Linked DNA regions of Drosophila melanogaster. The protein of the gene in region 3 purifies or fractionates together with the protein of the main gene of each other region. This does not show direct contact. Each region holds a gene or a part of one and is shown on either strand. Other genes may lie near its edges.

Region 1 (6,257 bases), on a different chromosome or scaffold from region 3:
TTGGCAGCTCAATGTACCCTTTTGGTGCTCGCGTATGTGTGATTGTGCACAAGGTGAGCGAGACAGCAGTTTCAGCCTTCAATTTGCGGGTTTACGTTGATTCTAATTAAATAATTCGTTGAAATCGGGCTCACTGCTTCTGTGAGGTCCAATTGTAATGCACACACACAAACACGTTCTCAGTGCTTTCCTCAAATTTTCTTTGTGAAGCGCCTCAAGTTTCGACTGGCTTTTAAGTCTGGTTTGGTTTTGGCTGTTTGAAAACTTGAAAAACAAGTTACTTCTGAACTCAAACTCCCCAGTTTTGGCAGTCTCTCCACACTTCTCTCGATCTTTCTCCCGAGAAAAAAAAAACACTTGCCGCGTCGCCAACCAATTGTTTGCAATTCGCAATTGTATTTTAGCCAGAGGCCAACGAACAAGTCTCTTGAACTTGATGGTCGGAACGAAGTTGAAGTGTATTAGACGTTGAACACTTTTACACATATTTAGTTGTAACTTTTTCAAGCCTTCATCATTATATTATTAAAACTTGAGTGTTAAACTGTATGTTTAAATATACTATGTTATCATTTCAATAAGTATTGAATTAGTAAACAACACTGAAGCCGTTGTGTTCAATCGTGTAAGCCTATTCCCAAATTTATAATCGTTATTTTAATTTAAAAACCTTTTAATTGCTCTTAATTTTGATCCAACACGCATTTTGGCTCACCGGTAAATTTGTGTATAATCTTTTACATAAAGAAGAGGGTTCTCTAATCCTTAAATGGATTTATAGTTTTGATGAGAATTAATACTAAAGTTAAATATTTTATAGTAAAGTTTTCCATTTACTGTGTTGTCAATTTTTTAGGACAAACAAACAATAAATAACAAAAAGTTTTTATCACATTAAATATCATGTGACTCAAGAGAGTTAAAAACATCTGATAATTTGCAGAACACGTACGAATATCAAACTAATTAGTTTTTTTTATAGAAATGGGTCCGTGTGACAGGAACCTCTTTACCACATTTCAGATATCACTTGATCAGCGTCAGTTAATATTTCCTAGTGCCGCATTCCATGACAGATCTGAAATTAGCACAGGAATAATTAGAACATGCTAGACCACCTGGCTTTATTATCAATAGAAAAAAGCATCAATAATACCCAATGGGAGGGCAAACAAACCTTCCTGCGGCGCCTGGAAGTCGGAGAGTTTGGTTTGTGCCATTTTTTTGTTTGGTCCAGGGACTTTGGTGCACCTCGGACATGCGCTGCACCCAGTAGCTAGTTAGTTGCATGTGAACTTTGAACTTTCGAGCTGGAAAGTGGAAGGCGGATTTGCATTTCCTATCGCTGCAGGTGTCTCACAAAGAGAGAGGCTCTCTCGTATCCTCCGCCCCCGCTGCATTTTTTTCATTGCGCAATGAGCGAGACGAATCGATAACTGCAAGGTTTCCATGTTTTAGCAGCTCAACTTTTGCGCGTATACAGATTTTTTGTCTGTATTATTTTATTTTGTGAAGGAGCTGGCCGCCGAATTCAGTTCGATTCGAGATGGGAACATGTGTTTTTATGGTTCCGCCATTGTCATGGTGAGATGCACTTGCTTTTTTTTGTCTTCATATTTTTACTTCCTCTCTCCGCACGCACGCGTCTGTGTGTGAGTGCGCTGGCGAGTGAGGTGGTGGAGGAGTACATGAGTGTGTAAAGTGTAGCCGTGGCAGAGTTGTAGCTCGCTAGTGGTCCGTTTGGTTTCTGATTTTCGGTTTCGTCGATTTCACATATGTACTGCAATGGTCGGCTAAAACGCTCTGCCGACGTCGCTATCTGCTGTATACTCGTTGCGCTTGTGTGGGTGCGCTGCTCTCACACCCGCTCTCTCTCTTTGGCTCAAACAGGGTGTCTTACCCAGATGTTCTGATCATCGTTTCCACCACATGGCTGGGTGACAATGGTACACCCTGTTTTCTAAACAACTTGTTTTCTCTCTTCCCAGCGTTGTTGTTGGTCCTCGCACTTACGTAAGCCTCACGTATTTCGTTTCTTATCCAAATTCTAAGCGCCATTTTGCGACTATTTGCATGCGGTACCGCTCACCGCTAATAAAAATAACCACTGATTGTGATTATTTGCTAATAGGTAATGAATGGTATATAAACTATTTTTGCCGTCAGCTACTGATGTGTTTTCAACGCGCTCGACGGAGGATTTTAGTTGTTGCGCCGTTGAGTTGCCACCCTGTTTTAGCTGCGGCAGCAGAATAAAATGAATTCCAAAGCAACACTGCGCGCGCGCTCTCACGCTCTCCGTTTTACACTCATTTCGCTCTCTCTGCTGACTCCAAATGACTGGCCGTCGCGTTTCGCTGTTTTAATCGAAAATGTTTGCGGCGGCGTTGAGATGTACGAAAACGTTCTCTCGCCAAAAATTTGTGAATAGAATAGCAGTAGCAATCTATCGAGAAGAAAATGTCTTAAATTCGAGCCGTGTGATCTAGTTAAGGTCTTAGAGCCAAGTGCAAATTGATTGAAATAAGCGTTAAACTTAAACTGAACTGGAGAACGAAGCCCCAGCTACTGAAAGAAAAGAAAACGGTGAAAATAAAGATTTCGGTGTGCCAGTGAGTGCGAATATAGTAGTTGCATGTGCAAAATACTGCGTAAAACGTGAAAGTTTCCAATAACACCACAAAACCAACGGCAGTTTTGTAGTAAATATACATACGCGCCCCGTACATATATACATACATTTCGAATATACATACACACAGCCGAATATCAACCGACGAAGCTAACTGCTTATTGCTGATGTAAGTGTAATATGGGCGGTGGGCGGTTGTGGGGGGCGTGAAAATTGCAGAGTAGCATTATCCTTCAAGTGCACTTGGAGTGCGGATTCGAGTTCAAACAATATTTTCGTTCGTGCCACTGAAAACTTGTGAAAATACAACATTTTTAGGTTAGGTCAATTTCAATTGGTTTATATACACACGCACGCACAAACTCACACACACACAAACAACAATGGCATAGCGAATACATATAGAAGGCGCACAGACAAAAAGTCGTCGACGGGGACGTGGTTGTTGTTTGTGTTGCTGCTGCTGCTGCCTCTACAGTTTCTGCTCTCCTCACACACAGTTGAACACAGTTGTGGAGAGGAGAGCCACACTCATACATACGCTTTGAACCATTGCTTTTGGTTCGCTTATGAACTGACTGTATTTTTTCAACGTAGTGTCGTTTTATTTTCGTTGTTGATTCGTTCTTTGCTCAGTTCGTGCGCTTATCTTGACTTTTGCTTTGATGCGCCATTCGCATGTACTGGCGAGAGCAGCCTAGTGTGAGTGTGCATTTAAATGGCTCCCCAATGAGAGCATCATTTTGTGGCCCTCTTTTTGTTCAGATCTTCCTTTTGCTCCTCTTCTTCATGCTCCCCAGCCCATCCGTCGTTTGTTGTTCTTGCTCCGCCTGTTTTTTTTCATTCGGTTTTGAATTTACACAAAACGTTTGCCGTTGCTTCTTCATGCTGAAATAGTATATATGTATGTGAATATATTGTACATATTTCTCTACACATCCATATGTTTTATTTGCAAAATTTATTAATAGCGCAGCGCCACTCCGCGGCTGTGTTAGTGCGCCAGAGTGAGAAAGTAACAGTAAAAAACTAAATATTAATTCGCGTTGATTCCGATTCGTATTGCAGTTGTTCAAAACCGAGTGCTAGTGATATTTGCAAAAAATTTAACATATTTTCCGCTGGCTGCCTTTTGTGTTGCGTATTCTGCTGTGCTGTGTATACACATAACAAAACAGATAAGATAACATTATACGTGTGCACGTAATAGAGCGGGCTGAATCAAAAAAAAAAAAAAAGAAAAAATGGAGGGAAAATTTGCCCACATGTCTCCCCAAAGCACACACACGCACACAACGCCCCAATTTGGAGCCTCTCTCGTCAAACACTCACACACACCAGCAAGCGAGTAAATGTGTTTGGTATGCACTAATGGCGGATCCAAAAATACAATAACAACAAAGACAGTTGGGAGAGCTCAAAAGAGCGAACTTGTTTTACCTTCATTTATTAAAGGATAGTTGGTGGTGGCAGAGACAGGAGAGAGAACGAGGGCTAAAGCTTTTGTGCGGCTGTACTGTGCTCCAATATTTGTTTACAAATGCTAAAAGGGGGCAGCTGTTGGTTCGATGGGGTGTTTCAATTAGTTGGAGCAGGATGATCCTCTAGGCGGTTTCCATTCACCTAATATTTGCTCGCGGTCTTTGGTTTGCGCAGCGTTGCGCTCTCTTCATTTTTGCCGCTCTCTCTCTCGAATGCCCGCCAAATGCTTGCTGTGTCCGTGTGTGAGTTTGGCCCCAAACGGGTGAAATACCTTTTTGAAAAAAAAAAAATCATCCATATACTGCGCCTCAACAACAAATGCGGCTCTCTCTGGTTCTCTCTGTGGCTGCACCACCACCACCGTATCGCCACCACCACCTTTGCATTGTTGCGTTTGCTGCTGCTGTTACCTCTGACTCTTCTTCTTCTTATTCTTGTAAGTTGTAGATACAGAACATGTACCAGCAGCTCTCACACACCACCCGCCCGCCCCCTTGGCGGTATCGATATATAAATATTTTCTATGTGTGCGTCTGAATTCTATGCAAGCCGATGTCGTGCATGGGGCATTTGGCACCTTCCACATTCACAAATACTGATATGTACACACATACACACACACTCGGAGGTGTACACAGAAAGCTCGCTTAGGAAGTTTTTACTGTACCGCTGAAAGCAATAACAAAGCGCGCGCCCAATTCCGGTTGAACGTACACACACTAAAGTGAATTACGCGCTCCTCCTTATGCCTTGCACTCACTCTCCTCCAAGACTCAACTTCCACTCCACGATCTCCTTCCCGTCTATATGTATCAATCTCTGGTTGCTGTTGTTGTTATTGGTCACAGCTCCACTGCTTCATTCCATTCCTATTGTCCCTCATCTCACTCTTCTCCCCCGAATCCAGAACACCCAATACAGAGACACCGTTCTCCACTCTGTAGTTTTTGTGATACGGCTAAAAGAAGAATTCCCCCGTGGCTTTTTAGTTCACCTTTTTTCTTGTTGAAATATGCAATCGTTCCGATATCTGTGAAGATATAGACCGAATTGATCAATCAGCTGTGCTATACTAGCTAACATGTTTTGGGAAAATTAGCAAGACTCGTGGTCTTTAATATATGGAAAAGTATATTTGGCATATTTGTCCTTTCATTTCAGTGTCAGTGAATAAATTCTAGTATTAATGTGTAAGATTGTTCCAGTAATGCAGAATTTAATGATGACTAACTTCATTAAAAATAGACCCAAACCTAATTCTTGGGGGTTTTTATACATTTAATGTCGACATTATTGTATGACCGTTTCCCTTCTCTTGCTTTGCTTGCAGTGATATTCAGAAAGAACTCCAAACGCTACGTGGCAGAGGCGAATCACCGGCGCAGCAACACCAGCAGCAGATAACCAGCCGTCAGTCCAATTTCTCTACCTTAGAACTCGAGCGCATTTGCCGCTTGCGGGGCGACCAAATGCATAGACAACATATGTCGCATTCACGAGCAGTCCAAGATCAAGAGTTGCGACCCCGACCGTTTGTTGCATATTACATACGCTCATAGAGGGCGGCCACTCACCTAGAGCAGCCAGAGTCCTTGCACTTGGGCAGGGATCCAGGGAGCAACAAAGTGCTTAGAAAGAAGAAGCAGCAGCACAGGATTATACGCTCCGCCGAGGACAGAGCAACAAAAAAGATGATGAAACGCACTCGCGTAGACGAGGTGCAATTTGGCACACGACCCGTTCCTCAGACCTCCGGAGGTGTGGGCGTTGGTGTCGTCGGCGTAACTGGAGGTGGGCCAACATCCGGCGGCGGTGGCACTGCTACTGTGGGCGTCAATACGACGGGCGTTACCATTGGTACCGTCGTGCCCAGTGCTCATAACGCCACCATCAGCGGGATCGGTTCCATTCACCATCGCATCCTTACTCCACAGCATGGAGGAGCACAAACCATTGCCTATTTGCCGTCCACCACGCCGACGGCTACGAATTTGAAGACCACAACCTCGATTGTGGATAGCACTACCGCTGGAGGACCAGTAGGAGCAGGAGCACAGGTGGCCGTAGGAGTTGGCTCTGCAGCCGGCGGAGGAGGCGTGGTGGTCTCCACAGGGAGCACGGGAACGCAAACATTACAGTATAC
Region 2 (5,002 bases), on a different chromosome or scaffold from region 3:
CTGCTGCTGGAGGGAACCTCGTATCCATCCTCGTCGACTTCCATGGTGGAAATACACCTATTTATCCTGACAAAACTCTCGCAACACAAATGCAATTTTCACAACTAACGTAGTTTTGGCTTTTCTGTCCCTATCCTTTTCGTTTTAATAGAAAACCACTCGCAGTGAGGCTCAAGCAGTGTGACCGCCGCTTTTTCTCGTAAAGGTGGCGAAACATCGATGCCAACATCGATGGCGTCGATGGTATCGATGGTATTTACTGCACATCGGAGAAGATATGTGTATATATTGTAAGTATAAATTGTAAGTTCCATATTTTTTAATAGAATTATTAATAACATATCGCAAATTTAGTGTGACTTGCTGGTGGTGTTGGCTGATGTCCTGAAAGACGTGGATAAATATCTGAAATTTAAGTTTTTAACTCCTGAATAAGGAGGGATGAAGACGTAGACGACAATAAGTTTATGTTTAGTTAAAATACTGCCTTTTTTATTTAGTCAATATTAAAAAAGAAAATAATATTTAAATTAAACAGATAATTTTTTTGTTTTTATTTAAAACATCGATGTTTAGAACAACATGTTTAAAGAATATGTTTAAGACTTTGATATTTTTCGCCAAATCGGAAACATCGATGTTTCTCCACCACTATTTTCTCGTCTAATTCAATAACGATTCCGATTCGTGTCGATAACCTTTTGGTATCTTAATCAAAATTTTTAATGTTTTGTTTATGGTATACCGATCAAATTGCAAAAAAGTAAAATCGAAGAAAAATCAAAACATTTTTCAAAAGTATATGCGTGGCAGTTTTGGGCGGTTTGTGGGCGTGGGAATTAGTTTTTTGCAATTCAAACAGGACTTATAACAAAATTTTAAAAATATCAAAACATTTTTCAAAAGTGCGCGCGTAGCGTTGGACGACACTAAACTGGGCCACATGGGTCAACAAACTTGCGCTGCGACTGTCTGTTTTATAGTTCCTGAGATTGAGGCGTTCATACGGTCAGACGGACATGGCCAGTTCGACTCGGCTATTGATCCTGATCAAGAACATATGTTTATACATGTATACTTTATAGGTCGGAAACGCTTCGTTATCCATAATTACAAAATTGTATTTTATTCATTAATTGCTGATTGAGTTCAGTTGGTACTACAGTACATCAAGTACTTTTTGAATTATTTTCTGTTCGGCAAGTAGCCCGTTTACGAAGAGTAAAAGTTGCAATAAATTAGATTTTTCAAATTCAGGGCTCCGGCCATCCTGCCCTTGAGCCACCTCTTCTGCTAGGAGGCACCGCCCGCTTTGTGGCCACTGCCCTTTTCCCGCTTGACTATCGGCAGCCGCGTCCAGATGTAGCCGCCCGATCTCTGGGCAGTGTACTCATCCACGTCCGGCAGGGGAAACGGGGTGCTCCGGTCGAAGTAGTAGTTGCTGGGAGCATGCATCACGAACTCTAGGTAGCAGAGCTTCCGGGACAGCTCCTCATCGGGTCCTGCAGGCACGGGAGTTAAGCAAAAATACAATTTAAAAAACTTTGGGTAGCAGGCAGGAGGACAGGACTGACATACCGATTAGGTAGGTAGGGGGATCGAAGCCCTCCTGGGGATCCGGACTGTCCTGCGTGGGAATCAGCCAGGTGAGGAAGGCGGACTTCTCGCAATAGGCGTCCACAAGCAGACCGCGTATCTGGGCGTAGTACAGATTCTGCTCGCTGTCCACAATGCTGACGATATCCCCGATTTGTATATAGCTGCCCTTGTGGAAAAGGCTTCTCACGAACCTGGTGCTCGCCTGCACCTTGGGAGTTTTCTGTGCTGGTTTCTTGAAGAGAGCGCGGCGATTACGGGCTCCAGTGGCCCCGCCTGTGCCCGCTGGACCGGACTTCCCATGCTTGTTGGTATTACTGGGATGGGCGCCAGCGCCCGCGAGGTGCACGGAGCTGCCGGTGGAACCATTCGCCCCGCTATTGTGGCCATTTGACTGGCTACTGCCGCTTCCGGGAGTGCCCTTGCCCGTTTGCTTGGCCTTGAAGCGCGTGCTCTTTCGCAGACGCTTTATTATCGTTGGGGAGCGGGTGGGCGCCTGGTTGGCTGTGCCATTTAGACTGCTACGGGTGATCTTGCCCGCAGTTCTCTGGCTGGGATTCGCTGCTGTCTCCGGCGAACTGGGCGCGACTTCCTCCTGAGCCTGCGGCTGCGGCGGCGGCTTCACTGGCTTGTCCTCCTCCTCGATTTTGATGGCTGTCGGATTGCTGGGCGGTTGCACGGAGCCGTCCTCCAGTGGCTTCTGGTCCTGCGCGTCCTTCTGCTCCTCCTCCTCTTTTTTCTCCCGTTTCGTTTTGGAATCCATCGGCTGCTCCAGCTCGGCCACCGTTGGCATCCGTTCGCTAGTGGTAAGATCGTTGTCTATCTCCATGTCCACGTCCATGTCGGTGGAGTCCTTCTGTGGCTCGCAGGAATAGGAGGGAGCTGCGACAATGGAGGCCAACGCCAGATCTCCAGCGGCTTCTGCTTGGAGGCCGTCGCCTGCGGTTGACACCTGGTACATGGGACTGACGCACTTGTTTAGGTCGGCGTCGGTTGACATGGCTAATCCATGCCCTTATTCAGGTCGTAGTGATTTTTAAAACAATAAATGCTTCAATGTGCTTGTTCTGCTATGCAAAACAACGTAATTTGTGTAGTATGTTTTTGTTAAACCAGTGTTGCCAGACCGGATCGGCGGGGGCTGCCAGGTAGCCAACTGTGCTCTGACTAATGCAGCCCTGGTTTTTTTAGGAATTCAAAATAGAAAGAAGAAATACCGGTGGAGATTCCATATTCAATTTCTCGCCAGTGGCGTTTTGTTAGATTTCCCTATCAATTTCGTTGGTAAAAGAACGTTGACCGTTGAACGTTCGGCCACCGTTGGCATCCGTTCGCTAGTGGTAAGATCGTTGTCTATCTCCATGTCCACGTCCATGTCGGTGGAGTCCTTCTGTGGCTCGCAGGAATAGGAGGGAGCTGCGACAATGGAGGCCAACGCCAGATCTCCAGCGGCTTCTGCTTGGAGGCCGTCGCCTGCGGTTGACACCTGGTACATGGGACTGACGCACTTGTTTAGGTCGGCGTCGGTTGACATGGCTAATCCATGCCCTTATTCAGGTCGTAGTGATTTTTAAAACAATAAATGCTTCAATGTGCTTGTTCTGCTATGCAAAACAACGTAATTTGTGTAGTATGTTTTTGTTAAACCAGTGTTGCCAGACCGGATCGGCGGGGGCTGCCAGGTAGCCAACTGTGCTCTGACTAATGCAGCCCTGGTTTTTTTAGGAATTCAAAAACGTTCAACGGTCAACGTTCTTTTACCAACGAAATTGATAGGGAAATCTAACAAAACGCCACTGGCGAGAAATTGAATATGGAATCTCCACCGGTATTTCTTCGACCGTTTATATTATTAGTACATTAGATTCGATGGCAAGTGTGTATATAAGGTAGAATTGCGCTATACTGCTATTTTTAGTTCGAATTCGCAGAAGATGTCATAATTTAAGCGTAAACGTAAACATATACCTTGTAGGAACTAAATTAAAAATGGTCGAGAAGCCAATTCAGAATTTAGCATCGATAAGTACGCAAAAGCTTTCTAAAGAGTTTAGGTGTAGTTTCGCACGCTTTCAAGAGCTATTCATTTCTTTCTGCTCCTCCGGGACGGCCCAGCAACCTAAGCATGGCACATTACTTAAAAGATGTCATTTATTTTGAGTTCGTACGTCTAGTTAATCAATGTAGTACTCGCGCTATTGAACAAATTATCCTATATAATTTAAAAAAGTTTGTTAAAAAGGGCTGCGCATACCATTCTGCTTCACTTTTCGTTCTTACTCCGGATTGTTTTGTTATTTACTCTTTACTACTCGTATAGCTAATAAGATCCTTACACCTAGCGAAAAAAATAGTGACAATAATGGGGATTCGGGAATAAAATACATTTACAAGGAGTCATGCCTGGATTTTCGGGGAAGGTGCGCGGAAAACCACGAGTTTTCCACGACGTATGGTATGGTTGGGGGAAAGGGTCATGTGGCATAGCATCGCTTTAAGATCATTGGGGCAAAAGGGCTCCTTTTGCGTTTGTGTTTTCGCAACGCATGGGCCTTTAAATGTTGCGGTTTCGGTGGTTGCCGCCTCGCTGGTTGCGATTGTTTCCGTTGCCGTTTCCGCCTGATCCTCCGCCCGGAAAGTGCCCTCCTCTGCCGCCATTATTGTTGAAGTTATTGAAGCCCATGCCCATGTTGCCCATTGAATTCATGTTGTTCATGACGCCAGCTCCTCCCCCATTGTTCCCACCAAATGGGTTGAAGGGATTGCCATTGGGCACAGGTCCTCCTCCTTGGTTTATCCCCAACTGGCCAAGTCCTCCCAGATTGCCAACGCCCTGGTTTAATCCATTGCCATTCGGAGGCATTCCCATCAATCCTCCGCGTGGCGGTGGCTGATTGAAAGGGGGTCCCACGTTGCCCATTTGCATCATCATTCCCGACATGCGAAGCATTCGTATGTTCGGTGGCGGTAGCCTTAACATTTGGCTCAGATTTGGTGGGGGTTGCGATAGATTGGGAAGCACTACTCCTCCTCCTCCTCCTCCTCCTCCTACTCCGCCTCCAGAATCTCCGCCGCCACCAAGAGCAGCACCATTACCGTTGGGCTCCTCGGGAATCTGCACCACCTCGCCATTGTCATCTACAAAGATAAAGAGCTTGGCAAAGATCTGCTGCAACGTTGTGTTGTTCACTATAAAGCTGACATCGAAAATTTTCGGAGCATCATTCGGCAGCTGATGGAACTTCTTGAGCTCGGTAAAGACCAGGGCGAGCTGTTGGTTCACCATAATCTTATTGTTGGTGCCGAGATTGTTGTACCAGTTGGAAACCTGCAGCAGGCTTCGGATTTCCGAGATTTGCTTGCTGCCACCAGAGGCATTGGGTGCTGTGGTGTTTGCCGTACTAGC
Region 3 (5,873 bases):
GTACAAGTCGAGAGCCTTTCGCTCCACCATTGGGATCTTTAGTGAAGAGCCTTGCAGCTCCCAGAACTTTGCGATCTGATCAAGGAAGTTGAGTTTGACGCGCGTCTTTGCCTCGAGCTCATTCAGCCGCTGGACACGTGGCACAAAGCGTAGCTTGTCCACGTCCACTGCAAACGGCGGCGACCAGGTTGCCGGCGGCAGGATCTTTGCGATTCCACACTTCTCAGCTATGGAGCGGATCTTGCTGATGTAGGCCAGTGGATTCTTGAACTCCTCAGTTGTGGGCCGGAACACAGGGCACTCTGGCGGCGTGTCAAAGTGGAACTCCTCGTTCTTTCCCTGGTCAAACTTGTTGCTGCTGTGCGGCTGCGTGTGGACCGACTTCTTGTGCCCAGTGGGCGCAGGCGTGGGCGTGGGATGAGGACAACTATTATGGTACTTTTTGCTGGCTGACACACTGCTGCTGGCGTGATTCATGGGAACACTGGGCATAGGCCGTTCCATTACCGCCGGAGAAATGCCTGGCGGAGCATGGGTGTGAGATCCTGTTGCTCCTGCCGGGGTGACTGGGGTCGAGGGCTCGTCGTTAGCATTGGATTTCTTTACGGACTCACTTCCACTATTAGTCCCGTTGCCCGTTGAGTTTCGGGTACGCAGACGACGTGCCGGAGTTGCTGTTCCATTCGCGGATGCGCCCCCGCCGGATGAGGTGCCGCTCCCGACTCCTCCGCCGCCGGAGTTGGCGGCCGTCGTGTTGTCCGCCTCAGTTTTGGCGGACATAGCTTTAAGATGAGTTCAGATTAAATTTATTCCGCTCGGTTCTGAAATAGAGAATAAAAGTTACGGATGAGTTCACAACTTGGTAATATTAAATTCGCTCCGGAAAGGTTGTTTTCGTTATTAGGGTTGAAAGACCTGTCCCGGTTATTTAATTATTGTGGCAGACACACTTCTTGGCAGTTTAGCTACTTTGTATTTCAGCTTCAACTACAGTACTCATTACCTAAAGTTGCTAGTAAGAAACGGCTTATTGGCAGTTTGTTTATTCTACTTTAAACGGCATAATATACCAATTAAATTCTCCCTAATTACAACGTTATTTAAATTTGACTTTTAAGCCAATGAAAGTTTATCTAAGGTTTGTTTGCAATAACTCAATAATAATTGTAGTTACTGCAGTTTATATATGTATATATATAAATATTTCAACAACTAGGGGTTACTTGTTGTTGGTAGAGCTATTATGGTGGCTTTTCAGATACACACACTCCCGCCCCGCGCCCCTTGCATTAATTAACGATTCGTTGCCCCGTCGACAGATTTAAATTGGTTAATATCCACAAGAGAACTGTCGTCTTAGTTGGACTTTCCTACCGCTCCTATTGATCGGAGAGGGAACCCCTGCGGCCCACTGTATCTACATCAAATCGCCGCACACCTGTGTGTGTGTGTATATGTGTTGTGGTGCCTGCACTCAACCCTCGCAGGTAAACAAACAACATTTACAGAGGTGAAAACTCGACTTTGCGACGGTGCAAGTGCAGTTACCAAACGATTACTTCGGTTGTGAGGTTGTATCCAGTGCCGCCGGCGGGATCGCAGGATGGGCAACTGCACTGGACCTAGGCGAAGTAATGCCTTTCTCGCATGTTTCCCTCCAGGGGGATGTGGCTTCTCCCGAGGAGTAATAGAGAGAGAGAGAGAGAGTGCAGCGGCGATTAGCCAGCAGCACTGAATTTGTTGCATACAAAAGTGGAGCACGCCAATACAGGCACAACCCCGGACACGAACACGGGGGATTTCCTGGCCGTGTGTATGTATAACATAGCGACCAATAAACTTACAAATTCGATAGCGAACATGTATACACCAAGTGTGCAAAAGGGGATTATACTTATACGCATTGTATTCAAAACATTCAGCACACAGGACCTTCATGCACACACACACACACACTAACACAAGCACATACACTGAGCAAAAGGTGAAAGCTGTTATCTACGAATTCAGCTGACGAAATCGAGAAGCGGAAACGAAGCCATGTTGAAAACCACTGTCAACTCCAACTTCCGGCTGGAGTTCCCAACAGATTTTTCGCGTTTGTCAGCTAGACACAAGGAAGCCGCCGCGACAGAGCTTTGCTTTGGTGGTTGTTGTGACGCACACACACTCTCGCACGAATGTGGGGCGCCACTGCCACTGCTGCCACCACCGAAAAGGGAGTAGAAGTGGGTGGGCAATGTGTGCCTGCCTGACTGACTGGCGGTGCGTGCGTATGTGTGTGTGTGTATAGTTTCCCGTGTGCTTGATCAGGAAGAGCCCGCTCTCGCCTAGAGAGAGCGAGATGAGCGACGACGAGTACCGTTTTTGTGTATCAAGTGAGCAAAGTACATCGTCGACAGCGACGCCGGCAGAGGCATGCTACGTTTGCTGCTCTGCTCGGGATAATGGGATATTATTTCCCTGCGAATCCGTTCCAAATCAAAATCGGTGGATTGCGATTTCGGATTATTGATTGGGCAGCACGGCGTCGTGACAAGTGCCATTTTCCAAACTGCAGCCAGCTGTTCGCTGTTAGTGTTGGACGGGGGAAACTGATTTTCCGTTCTGCGGCCGCCGATCGCTCGGAAAAGCAGCCTAAGCCGAAAGCTTCTTTTATATAATTTCCATTTTCAGCCGCGCACACACACCCGCACGCAGCTTACACGGGCACAAACAAACAGCTTACACGGACACGGGGCACGACAGACACAGGTACGCGAATACAGGCACACACATTCGCACCGAGCATGTACATAAATATGGATGGATTTGGCGAAATTAGCACTGGATATTGGTTACTTTCCAGCAGGAGCGCAAAATTTACGCATTTGCCCTGCCATATTGCACATTTCCAACGGTGGGGGGAGTGGCGGTGAGCGGAAACAGAAAAGCTGAACTGATTTTTTTTTTTGGAAGGTGACTGCAGCACTGTACTTTTCGAATAGTAACTCCCCGCGAACAGCTCGACTGGAGCTATATATTCACTATATACTTGAAAGTCACTAAACTCAGTGGCATATATTGGCTTTCCAGGCGTGGGATCACAATATTTTTCGCTATGATGGCGACCGGGCAGCGACGCAACGCACTTTGCAGCGCTGTCGCTGCTCTGCTGGCGTGTGCAATTGGTGCGCGATTTTCCGTCCGCGGTTTTCCACCGTAATCCGTTCATCCGCGACGTGGTTCCTAACCTAGCCGCGACCTGGCGTTGTCTTCTGGCCGCATTTTCACAATTATTACGGATTTTCGGAATCCCGATTGCGCTGCCAGCAGAGGGAACACACATACAAACATTTTCCACGACTAGTGCGGGGGGTTGTTTTCGCTGTTGGCCAACGCAGAGGCTGCAATCCGCACTTTTCCTGATCTATATGCACCGACTTGGCCAGGTGGGCGTCTGCGTTTTGCTAGTTTGTTCGCTTTTCGCTGCTAATTAAACGTTTTCAGCCATCAGAAGTGCCCCTAAACTCACACACTGGCACGCACACAATCGCACTGGGTTCGGGCACTGGGAACTGGGCACCCTACACTGGGCAAAAACTCACTGTCGTCATAGGAAGTCGTTGGAAGACGCGCACGCTCGGTATGTGATCGAAATGAGTGTTCCATAAAACCACCGAGCACGGCACTGGCGAGGTGGCTTTAATGCGAATTTACTTTTCTGATTTCTTTCTCCGATGTCTGCGTTTTTTCCTGCTACATGTGTCCAGTGTGACCCGTCGTCGAAGTGCCGGAAACGTCGATCTGCCCCACAAAAGTTCGGGAAAATACCAGCCACCGTCCGCGTTGTGCAGCACTGGCCTTCAAATCAAACACAGTTTCTTATCGGCGGAGGTCGACGAATCGGATCTCGTCTTATCGCCGACCCCCCGTTTATTGTTTCGTTTCTGTATTAGATTCAAAATCAGTTCGGTCATAGGCGTTACTCAGTCTAGCCGGCGCCGCGTTTAACACTATGCCGGTTCAGGGACAGGACTTGAAACATCCATAGGATCCATCGAGCATATACGCAAGGTTTCCTAAGTACGCTTTTTTAATTAATTTTATGAAATGTGTTTCAATACAGTGGTAAGCTAAAAAAAGAAAGTTTGGCATTCTACAAGAGTGAATTATATTCTAAGTTATTAATATAAGTAAGTGAGCTCTTTTATTGTTTTTAGAATACTGTGTGTTAATTTAAGCCTTGGCTTTAAGAATTTGAATTTGTATAATATATTTAAAATAACCAGTAGACATAAGTATTTAGTTAACGGTAATGCCTATGAAATTGTTGTTGCTCAACTCAACAAATCAGCAGAAAATGAAATAAATACGCAAACTGGTTTCTGTAAAATACATTGTTTATGCAAGATCAATAAAAAAAAAACAAACATCCAAGTTTTAAAGTTCGTAAGATTGAACAAAATGGCGGTTTTCTTGGGAAACGGTATTCTTTGCAACGTATTTGGAGCCGTCGCACTGCGTGATAAAAAAAGTGCAGTCACGGTCACACTGGCGAGCAGAATTTCATACGTTTTTGTTTCCTTTTGGCCATATTTATTATTGTTAAAATTGGAGCAATGCCAGCTGCTGTGCGCAAGTTCCGCCGCGAGACCAGTGAAATCAGCTGCTGTCTGAAGTACCTTTTGTTCGCCAGCAATGTGATCCTGTGGCTCTCGGCCCTGCTGGTCCTCTCCGTTGGCATCTGGGCCTGGAGCGAGAAGGGCATGTTCCGCAACATTGCGCGGCTGCACTTCATCGCCCTGGACCCGGCCTTCGTCCTGATCATCCTGGGAGGCGTCACCTTCCTACTGGGCTTCATGGGCAGCGTGGGCGCCTTGCGCGAGAACACCTGCCTCCTGGGGGCGGTGGGTACCACATTGTTAGTGGATCCCCTCTGGACCTAGTTAATCCTTATTTTTCCGCTTGCAGTACGCCATCTTCTTGAGTGTCTTGCTTATCGCAGAGATCGGCTTCTGTGCCGTGGCCTTCGTGCTCAAGGACAAGGGCTGGGTGAGTTCCATTTGAAGGCCACTATTCTAGCCAGCCATTACTAAGGTTTGCCTTTTCCAGATCAAAGACCAGGCCACCGAGGGACTCAAGGCCTTCATTCGCCACTATCGCGAGGACGCAGACCAGCAGAATCTCATTGATTGGATCCAGGAGGATTGGTTGCAGTGTTGCGGCATTGATGGTCCCAAGGACTGGGACAGCAACAACTACTTCAATTGCTCGTCTATCGCTATTGGCAGCAGGGAGGCGTGCGGAGTGCCATTCTCCTGCTGCCGCAGACGTCCGCAGGAGGTGATCAAGAACAAGCAATGCGGCTACGATGTACGCAAGGAGGGATATGTAAGTCCGCTAGCTGTTTTCCCCCGTCTTTCCGAAATGCATATTGAAATTCACCCACGAATCGTACGCATGCAGCCGGTGGATAGGAATATACATGAGCGTGGCTGCTTGCGCGCTGGCGAGGATTGGCTGGAGGCCCATCTGATTAGTGTGGCGATTGGCTGCGTGGCTCTGCTCGTCCTGCAGGTGCAAAACATTTCTATAGTCGTCGTTGTATATTTCTTTTTGAATCTTTGAAAATTTTAAGTTTAGTGTAGTTCAGATGAGAGAATCGTTTTTAAGGTGGTCCCATTTTTTTTAAAAATATGGTTTTTACTCGTAGTAGTTACATCTTTTTGTTTTATAATTTCCCACAGACTTTATATTTATTTTATTTTTTTAATTTCTTACCAGGGCATGGAGTTGTCCAAAATAATCTACGAAAAGGGCTGTGTTCAAGCAGGCGAAGAATGGATGGAGCACAACTTGATTATTATTTCCGCAACTGTTATAGTTGTGAT
Region 4 (6,992 bases), on a different chromosome or scaffold from region 3:
TGTCCATCTCGAAGTCCAAGTCGGCCGGCTTGGCCAGCTCGTTGGGATCCCTTGTGGCTGCCGAGTCCAGCGCCTTAATGATCAAACTGAGCAGCGCGTGCGCGAGGCGATGGCACACATCGTACTCGATGGCATCCTGGCTGGTGTAGTAGATGGCCGACTGTGAGGTGGGCTGCACACCAATGGCCAACAGGATGTTGCAGAAGATGCCGCGCTGCATGCGCGCATACGGATCCACCAGCTGCGGCGGAATGCGCATCGTTGTGGCCAGATGGGAAATGAATTTGGCGAACTTCTTGATGAGCACGTTCAGGTACTGGGTGCGGCACTGGCGCTCCAGCTTGGTCAGCATGTTGTAGTACAGTTCCTGCTTGCGCTTCAGGAAATCCTCCTTCTTTCGCTCCTTGGTCTTGTTGCTCTTAAGGATCTGCTCCAGCTGTCTGTTTTTGGGAATGAGATGAGATGATTAGATCGCGTTAGCAACTGATGCAAGCGCTGCACTTACTCCGTGGTAATGGCTTTGTATTTGCCCAGCATGCGCTTGATCCGCTTGGCCCGCAGCTTCGGATCGTATACATCCTTGAACTGCTCGTAGTTGTCGATGAGCGTGTGCAACTTGGGCTTGGACAGGGCCACGTCGTAGGGCTTTACCTTGGGCGGCAGTGTCGGCTGGTAGGCCATGCGCCGCACATACAACTCCAGCTTGTCCAGTTCCTCCTCCCGCCGCTTCTTTACGTTCTCCTCTGCGCACACATCCGGATCCTCCTCCTCGGGCAGCGACTCCGTCGACGTGGGCATCGGCTCATCCCAATCCGAGACATTGGAGCTGGCCATGGCTGAAGAGTACTACACGGAACTGAACTAAACGAAACGAAACGGAACGGCTCGTCTCGGCTTGGTAAATTTGTACGTATTGGAAATTTAGCTTTGAACTTGGTTACTTATAAACACAAAATAATGTTTCGAAATCTTTTTTGTGTACGAAAAATTTGGGTAAACGGGAGCACTAACAATTTTATGTATTCACGCTGCGATAGTGGATCACCTTATGAGCAGTCCCAGTTGAAATGTGAGCGAGGTAAAACCAAAGGACTACTTGATAGTCAGAAAAGTTCTACATGTTTTCAAAGAAATGGAACATTAATTGTATGGCAACAAGATTAAGGAATTCCAATGACTCACACCACTAACAAGCAAAAGAGCACTGCATATGTGGTTTACAATTAAATAAGCAACGTTTTATTATATGTAATGTAATGTAATGTATGAATATTAACCAGTGGATCTATGGATCTAAAGCTAGTAACACTCGTTCTGCACGGATCGCTCCAGGGCGAAGGTGTACTCCTCGGCCAGCTCGTCCACGGACAATTGGCGCGTTAGTAGCGCCAATATGCTGTCCACCTGCATTTGGGTGCTGGTGTAGCGATCCTTGTTGGCCAATCCGGGTGCCAGCTCGAATGGAATGTCCTGCAAGTAATTGACGGGTCCTTGGGCTCCGGGCTGCTTCACTTGATCGCTGCGCGGTCCTGGCATCGGCGGATAGGGCAGATAGCCCGCTGGCGGCATAGGTGGATACATGGAGCCGGCTGGAACACCCGGATGAGGAGCATCCGGTACTGGTTTGCGCTCTATGAACACGAAATCATCGACACTGGTGCCTGGACGGGTTGCCTCCGCCGGTCCCTGGATGGGCTGGTCATCCGTGGGCGTTTCCGCGGGCTTGCGTTTGCCAAATATCGAAAACATTGCACTATTTTGTTCTATTGTTTGGTAAAATCAACTGGCAAATTGCGTCGTCCGCCAGCTGTGATGCTCTTTTAGCGGGCGTTGGTCCAAAACAGCGAGTGCTAGCTAGTGGTGTGCCCAAAAGATGTAAACATATAGGTGTCTATAGTGAGGTCTGAGCGAAATATGAGAATTTTGGGTATTTAATTTTTAACTATTTGTTTGCTTGGGTATTTTTCGGTTACGAATGTGTATACCCAATATAAACTTTATTAATTGCAAGTAGTTAGATTTGGAGTGAAATGCAGTCTGCACTGAATTTCCGTTAATCGCCTATCGGTGGGCGCGCAGTGTGGCCATTCGCTCGTCGGATGCGCAGGGCTGGACAACCGACACTGCGCCCGCCTCCGTCGCCAAGTGAAGTCGCTCCGAGATTGATTGTGTACACCGGATAAGAGGAGCGAGCGAAAAAGATGTCAAAATTGGACCAGGACCCGAACGCCTCACTGAGCATCATGGAGGTGAGTGTGCCGCCGGGACGCCATTCAGAGCTTCAGTGTGTCCACTGCCCGGAGCTCCAATTCCAATCGGCGGTGGCTACTCTAGAGCTGCCACATTAACGCATTCACAACTGTCTCCATTTCCCACATTTAACATAACTTTACTACTTCGCGCAGCAAATCAAGCAGCTCATCCGCCCGCCGCCCAACGAGGACGAGAAGATGATGCAGCGGTCCACCAACACGAAGCATCCGTACTACAGGCGCCCGGGCAGGGGCCACAACCACGACTATTGTGACGCCTGCGAGGAGGGCGGCAATCTGCTGTGCTGCGATCGATGCCCCTCCAGCTTCCACCTGCAATGCCAGTGAGTATATACACGCGCATATAGCTGCTCATTTTGAGTGCTGATTTCGTGCTTTCGCCACAGTGATCCACCGTTGAGCGAGGAGGACATACCCAGTGGCCAGTGGCTGTGCCACAGCTGTCGCATGAGCAAGCTCTCCCAGCCGCCGGCCTCCTCATCCAAGGCCAGTTCCGTGGAGCGTGTGCCTTCGGCGGGCAGTGGCTCACGGGCGAATACTCCATCGTCTGGCGATCTGGAGTCCATACCGCTGAAGATCCGCAACCTGCGCAAACGCAGCAACAGCGAACGCAATAGCACCGAGAAGCTGCTGGCCAAAATGCCGATGTCCATACAGCGCGCCCTCGATCCGAACAAGAAGCCAACGCCGCTGGACGATGTCATCAGGGCGGCCACCATGATGAATCCGCAGCAATTCTCGCTGCCGCCGGAGCTCGAGCTGCACACCCAGTTCCCGGGCAATGGCAAGGTGCAACCCGTACAGCAGACGCATCCGCCGAGCGGAAATGGCGGTAATCGCAGATGCGCCGGCAATCAGCGACGCAACTCCAAGCCGTTTGAGCTGGATGCCCAGGGACTGGTGCCGCTGCCCGCCAAAACCTGTTTCTACTGCACGCGCTCCTGCAAACGGGCGCCGCTCATCTCCTGCGACTACTGTCCGCTCTACTTTCACCAGGATTGCCTGGATCCGCCACTGACGGCACTGCCAGCTGGATTGTGGATGTGCCCCAATCATGCCGAGAATTTTATCGTAAGTCAGCCAACGCACATGGAGGTCTGCTTGGGTTCTAATGAGGATGTCTGTTCACAGGATGCCAATATGACCAATAGCATTTCGGCCACGGAGCGGGTGCGTCTCTGGAATCGCTTCCACCAGCCACTTGACCATGAAAATGTCAAGCTTGAGTTCTTCCGGCGTGTCAACACGCGCAATCCGCCCTTTCGCACCAAGAGAAATCTGCGTGCTCGCGCCCACATCGAGGTGCCAGCCATTGTGCGCTACCACTACGATCATCCGCCGCCGCTGTTGCCCTCCATGCGCCAAACGTTGCGCTACGATCGGGTAAAGCGGCGCAATAACCTGCCCACCGAAGTCGAGGAGATATCCCGTGAGTCGGTCACCGAATCGCTGCTCAAGGATCTGGAGGCCTTGCGCACGGCTCACGCCAAATTCCGTGAGATTCAGAGGGAATTCGGAACCTTGGAGACGGCCATAGATGGCGATAGCGACAGCGATCCCAGTCCTGAAGAGAAAAGGACCGAGACGAACACTCCCGCCGATAAAGTGAATGGCGAAGTGGATACGGAGAATCCCAATACAGAATCGAATGCGCAGGCCAGCGAACAGCCGTCGGTTGTCAAGGTGGAGTCCAAGACCAGCCTAGAGGTGGAGGCTAGCTTCGAGGAGGACGAGGAGGACAGCAAGAAATCAACGGGTATTATCGATGCAGACCTCTTACACCTGGACGTCGATATAATCAAGAAGCTGGCGCACCAGCGTCTGCAGCAGCTGGTCGAAGAGCATCCGGAGATTGTGACACAGTACAAGAATCGCACGGCCGCTCGTCGCCTGCGTCAACTGGCGTCAGTCGATGGCACACATGTGGCTGGCGAAACTGCTGCCCTGCAAGGCCAACTGGCGCCGGAGGATATGAACCGTTTCTCGCTGCTCTTCACCAGCGAAACGTCCTCAATTCTGGCGCAAAAGAATGGCAATGCCGCCGACGAAGATCCCGCAACGGCCCTGCATCCGGCACTGGCCACAGCGGCGGCCATTGCAGCAGCAGATGCCGCTGCCGAAAGCTATGCGCCGCGTGCCCGTAGCGACACGGAGAAGGCATACGAGCTGGCATCGCGCCTGGAGCTCAAGCTGCTGCAGTGCAAAGTGCAGGCGCGTGCGGTGATAACGCCACTGGGCGACATGCTCGAGGATAGCCGCTGGTTCAGTTCGCTGGGGCTGGACCATTCGATTTTCATGCGCTACCGCACGCTGTACATTGGCTACGGTGGACACTATTCGCCATCGACGACGCTGGCGCAAACGGAGACCGTGGACCTGTCGGCCATTGGTTACTGTTGTCGCATTTCACCGCAGCACGCCATCATCTTCTACGACGAATTCTCCAAGTCGTACGAGCTGATCAATTACTCAGAGTTTGGCACCGAGGTGAATGGACAGCTGTATGCCTGCGACGTGACCGAAAGGATGACAACGCACGCCGGCAAGCCGATGCGACCTGACGATGCGGAGCTGAAGAAGCGCGTCGATGAGATGCTGGACAAGCGTCGGAACATTAATCGCCAGTTCGAGACGAAGAAAATCGACAAAGAACGGTAGCTATAGTTTATTTGCCCAACTTACCCAATGATGATGATAACCACTTGTTGATTTAATCTCCCCGCAGATTGGCGCCCATTGTTAAGCCCGCCTGCCGCTGCATGAACGCCGGACCAGTGCCCATGGTGGATGGCGCCTGGGAGGGATCGGCGGTGCTGGCTCACGGCAGCCTGCTGCGATTCGGTTGCCTGTCGTTTGTGTTTGTCGTGCCGTCGGTGGATCTGCTGCAGGCGCAGGCGCGCAGCAAGCGTTCGTAGAACCAGTACCCAGACTCCATCAGCAGAAGCAGCAGCCTTTAGTTTAAGCATTAAGACACAGAAACATATACGCGCTCAACCGCAGCCAACTCCAGTGGAGCAGCACCAATCTCAGTGGGGCAGCTAGCAGCCAGGCATAGGGTTAGGGTTAGCAGATACCAGTTCAACTTCATCGCATCAATCATCGCAATGCAAAGCCTCGGCAGTACTTTTAAATCACACAATCCTCCAATCCCATCCAGCATTAAGGGTATATATTTGCCTTATGACCAGTGCAATAAATACGGAGTACAAACCACGGATGTGCACGGCTGCAGGCTGATCCATGCCAGTGGGCAGTGGATCTCTGGTATCAAACGCCGTATTTATTGAATTAACCATTACGTTCATAAATCGCATAAACCCGCATCGCATACTTTACTTTTATTGTAAAAACAGATGTATAAATTGCTAAAACGAAATAAACTTGTAAGATCAGAGATTTTTTCACATGCAAATGGATCGATGGAGCCACCAATTAGCAGTAAGCCCCGCCCAATAAGTGCACATGACTTTTAGTTTCTTTTGAAATGAATGTGTTTACTTTATAACCAGATCAAATCCAACTGGTTAAGGCATTATAGAGAACGAGAAGAGTATACACAATAGGTGCCAGGCGGCGGGACGCCTTGACTTTGTGGAGTACACGAAACGTCGGATAAGTACATTCGGTATGGCTAATATGCAAAAAATATATATGTATATATTTGTAATTGTAAAGATCTAAGACTACGCATGCACCGCGTCCAGGTGCCGGCTGCCATCCTAGAGTGCGGCCGCAGGACCCGGCTGAGCCTGTGCCTGTGACGGGTTGGTGTGCTGCATCTGCTCCTGGACGCCAGCCTTGGCCGCCGAGCGCGTGGCTCGCGATCTCTCCCATTCCGCTTTGTGCTTGCGCTTAGTGTGATGGTACATATTCGACTTGGAGCGGAATTCCGTGGGACAGAAGGCGCAGGTGTGCAGCTTGACGCCCGTGTGCGTGGCAAAGTGCTCCTGCCGCAGAAGAATTCATTATCATTAGTGGTATCCATGCAGCTGCGGATAACTGAAACAATGCAAGGCAGTGCAGTACTCACCTCCAAATATCGCTTCATCTTGAAGCTTTTGCCGCACACATCGCATGCGTACTTGGGCTTGCTCAGGCAGCGATGATTCTGGCCAGGAAGCTCACCGCAATTGGGACAAATGATCGAAACGGGTGCCGCATGGATGACAGCCTGCAGCGGAGCCGCCGGTCGTTTATCCGTCTCTGAAGGCGGGTGGTTGCTGTAAGAGATTCGTTAGTAAGCTTGCTGCTTGCTGCTTGCTGCTGGAGTATCCAATCGACTTACCCATAGGGATGCGCCATCATTGTCCCAGTTGTCGTTGTCGTCGTTGTTGTGGCACTGCTCGTTCCTACGGCCGCCGCTGCAGCCGCCGTTGCCGACATGACAGCAAAGAGTTGTTCCTGATGTTGCTGTTGCAAAAGGCTCGCACACAGACGCTGCTGCAGGCTATCCGGTTGTCCTGGCGGATTGCCCGTTAGCGAAGCGGCTGCCACGACAGCAGCGGCTACCGCATTATAATTGGCCAGTATGAGCTCGTTCTCCTTGAGCCTTTTCTGCGGCGAATCCTCGTCGCTAACATCGCTGCCCTCCGTGTGCTGGACCTTTTTGGGCGAGTGCGTCTTTCGGCGACTGGATCGATTGCGTGAGCCCCGACTACCGGATGGCGGTGTCTTGGTTATGGTGAGGTTCATGGCCTCGCTGGGTTGACTCTTGATTAC

Evidence for each region.
Region 1: the proteins of Kdm5 (region 3) and Sin3A purify together in Drosophila melanogaster (affinity purification with western blotting; 3 studies listed by BioGRID, with this or other methods). This does not show direct contact.
Region 2: the proteins of Kdm5 (region 3) and CG13367 purify together in Drosophila melanogaster (affinity purification with mass spectrometry, with the first as the bait; one study listed by BioGRID). This does not show direct contact.
Region 4: the proteins of Kdm5 (region 3) and CG3815 purify together in Drosophila melanogaster (affinity purification with mass spectrometry; 2 studies listed by BioGRID, with this or other methods). This does not show direct contact.

The regions. Positions count from the first base shown.
Region 1 is NT_033778.4:12,585,260-12,591,516, reverse strand, and holds the start of Sin3A (Sin3A), read left to right. Parts: upstream 1-2,364; 5' UTR 2,365-2,801; intron 2,802-5,444; 5' UTR 5,445-5,805; coding exon 5,806-6,257.
Region 2 is NC_004354.4:642,490-647,491, reverse strand, and holds CG13367 (uncharacterized protein), read right to left. Parts: upstream 2,732-5,002; 5' UTR 2,597-2,731; coding exon 1,579-2,596; intron 1,503-1,578; coding exon 1,294-1,502; 3' UTR 1,106-1,293; downstream 1-1,105. Other genes in the region: Roc1a (regulator of cullins 1a), read right to left, coding at 1-44; su(sable) (suppressor of sable), read right to left, coding at 4,151-5,002.
Region 3 is NT_033779.5:5,995,711-6,001,583, forward strand, and holds the start of Kdm5 (lysine demethylase 5), read right to left. Parts: upstream 3,792-5,873; 5' UTR 3,588-3,791; intron 2,055-3,587; exon of another isoform or gene 1,973-2,054; intron 1,076-1,972; exon of another isoform or gene 1,004-1,075; intron 822-1,003; 5' UTR 781-821; coding exon 1-780. Other genes in the region: Tsp26A (tetraspanin 26A), read left to right, coding at 4,602-4,889, 4,954-5,034, 5,095-5,373, 5,449-5,559, 5,767-5,873. UniProt on the Drosophila melanogaster protein: Histone demethylase that specifically demethylates 'Lys-4' of histone H3, thereby playing a central role in histone code. Does not demethylate histone H3 'Lys-9', H3 'Lys-27', H3 'Lys-36', H3 'Lys-79' or H4 'Lys-20'.
Region 4 is NC_004354.4:6,293,305-6,300,296, forward strand, and holds CG3815 (uncharacterized protein), read left to right. Parts: upstream 1-2,084; 5' UTR 2,085-2,201; coding exon 2,202-2,249; intron 2,250-2,405; coding exon 2,406-2,596; intron 2,597-2,659; coding exon 2,660-3,344; intron 3,345-3,404; coding exon 3,405-4,927; intron 4,928-4,998; coding exon 4,999-5,188; 3' UTR 5,189-5,666; downstream 5,667-6,992. Other genes in the region: CG15892 (uncharacterized protein), read right to left, coding at 1-440, 506-834; CG15891 (uncharacterized protein), read right to left, coding at 1,300-1,749; CG12219 (uncharacterized protein), read right to left, coding at 5,993-6,220, 6,304-6,493, 6,559-6,992.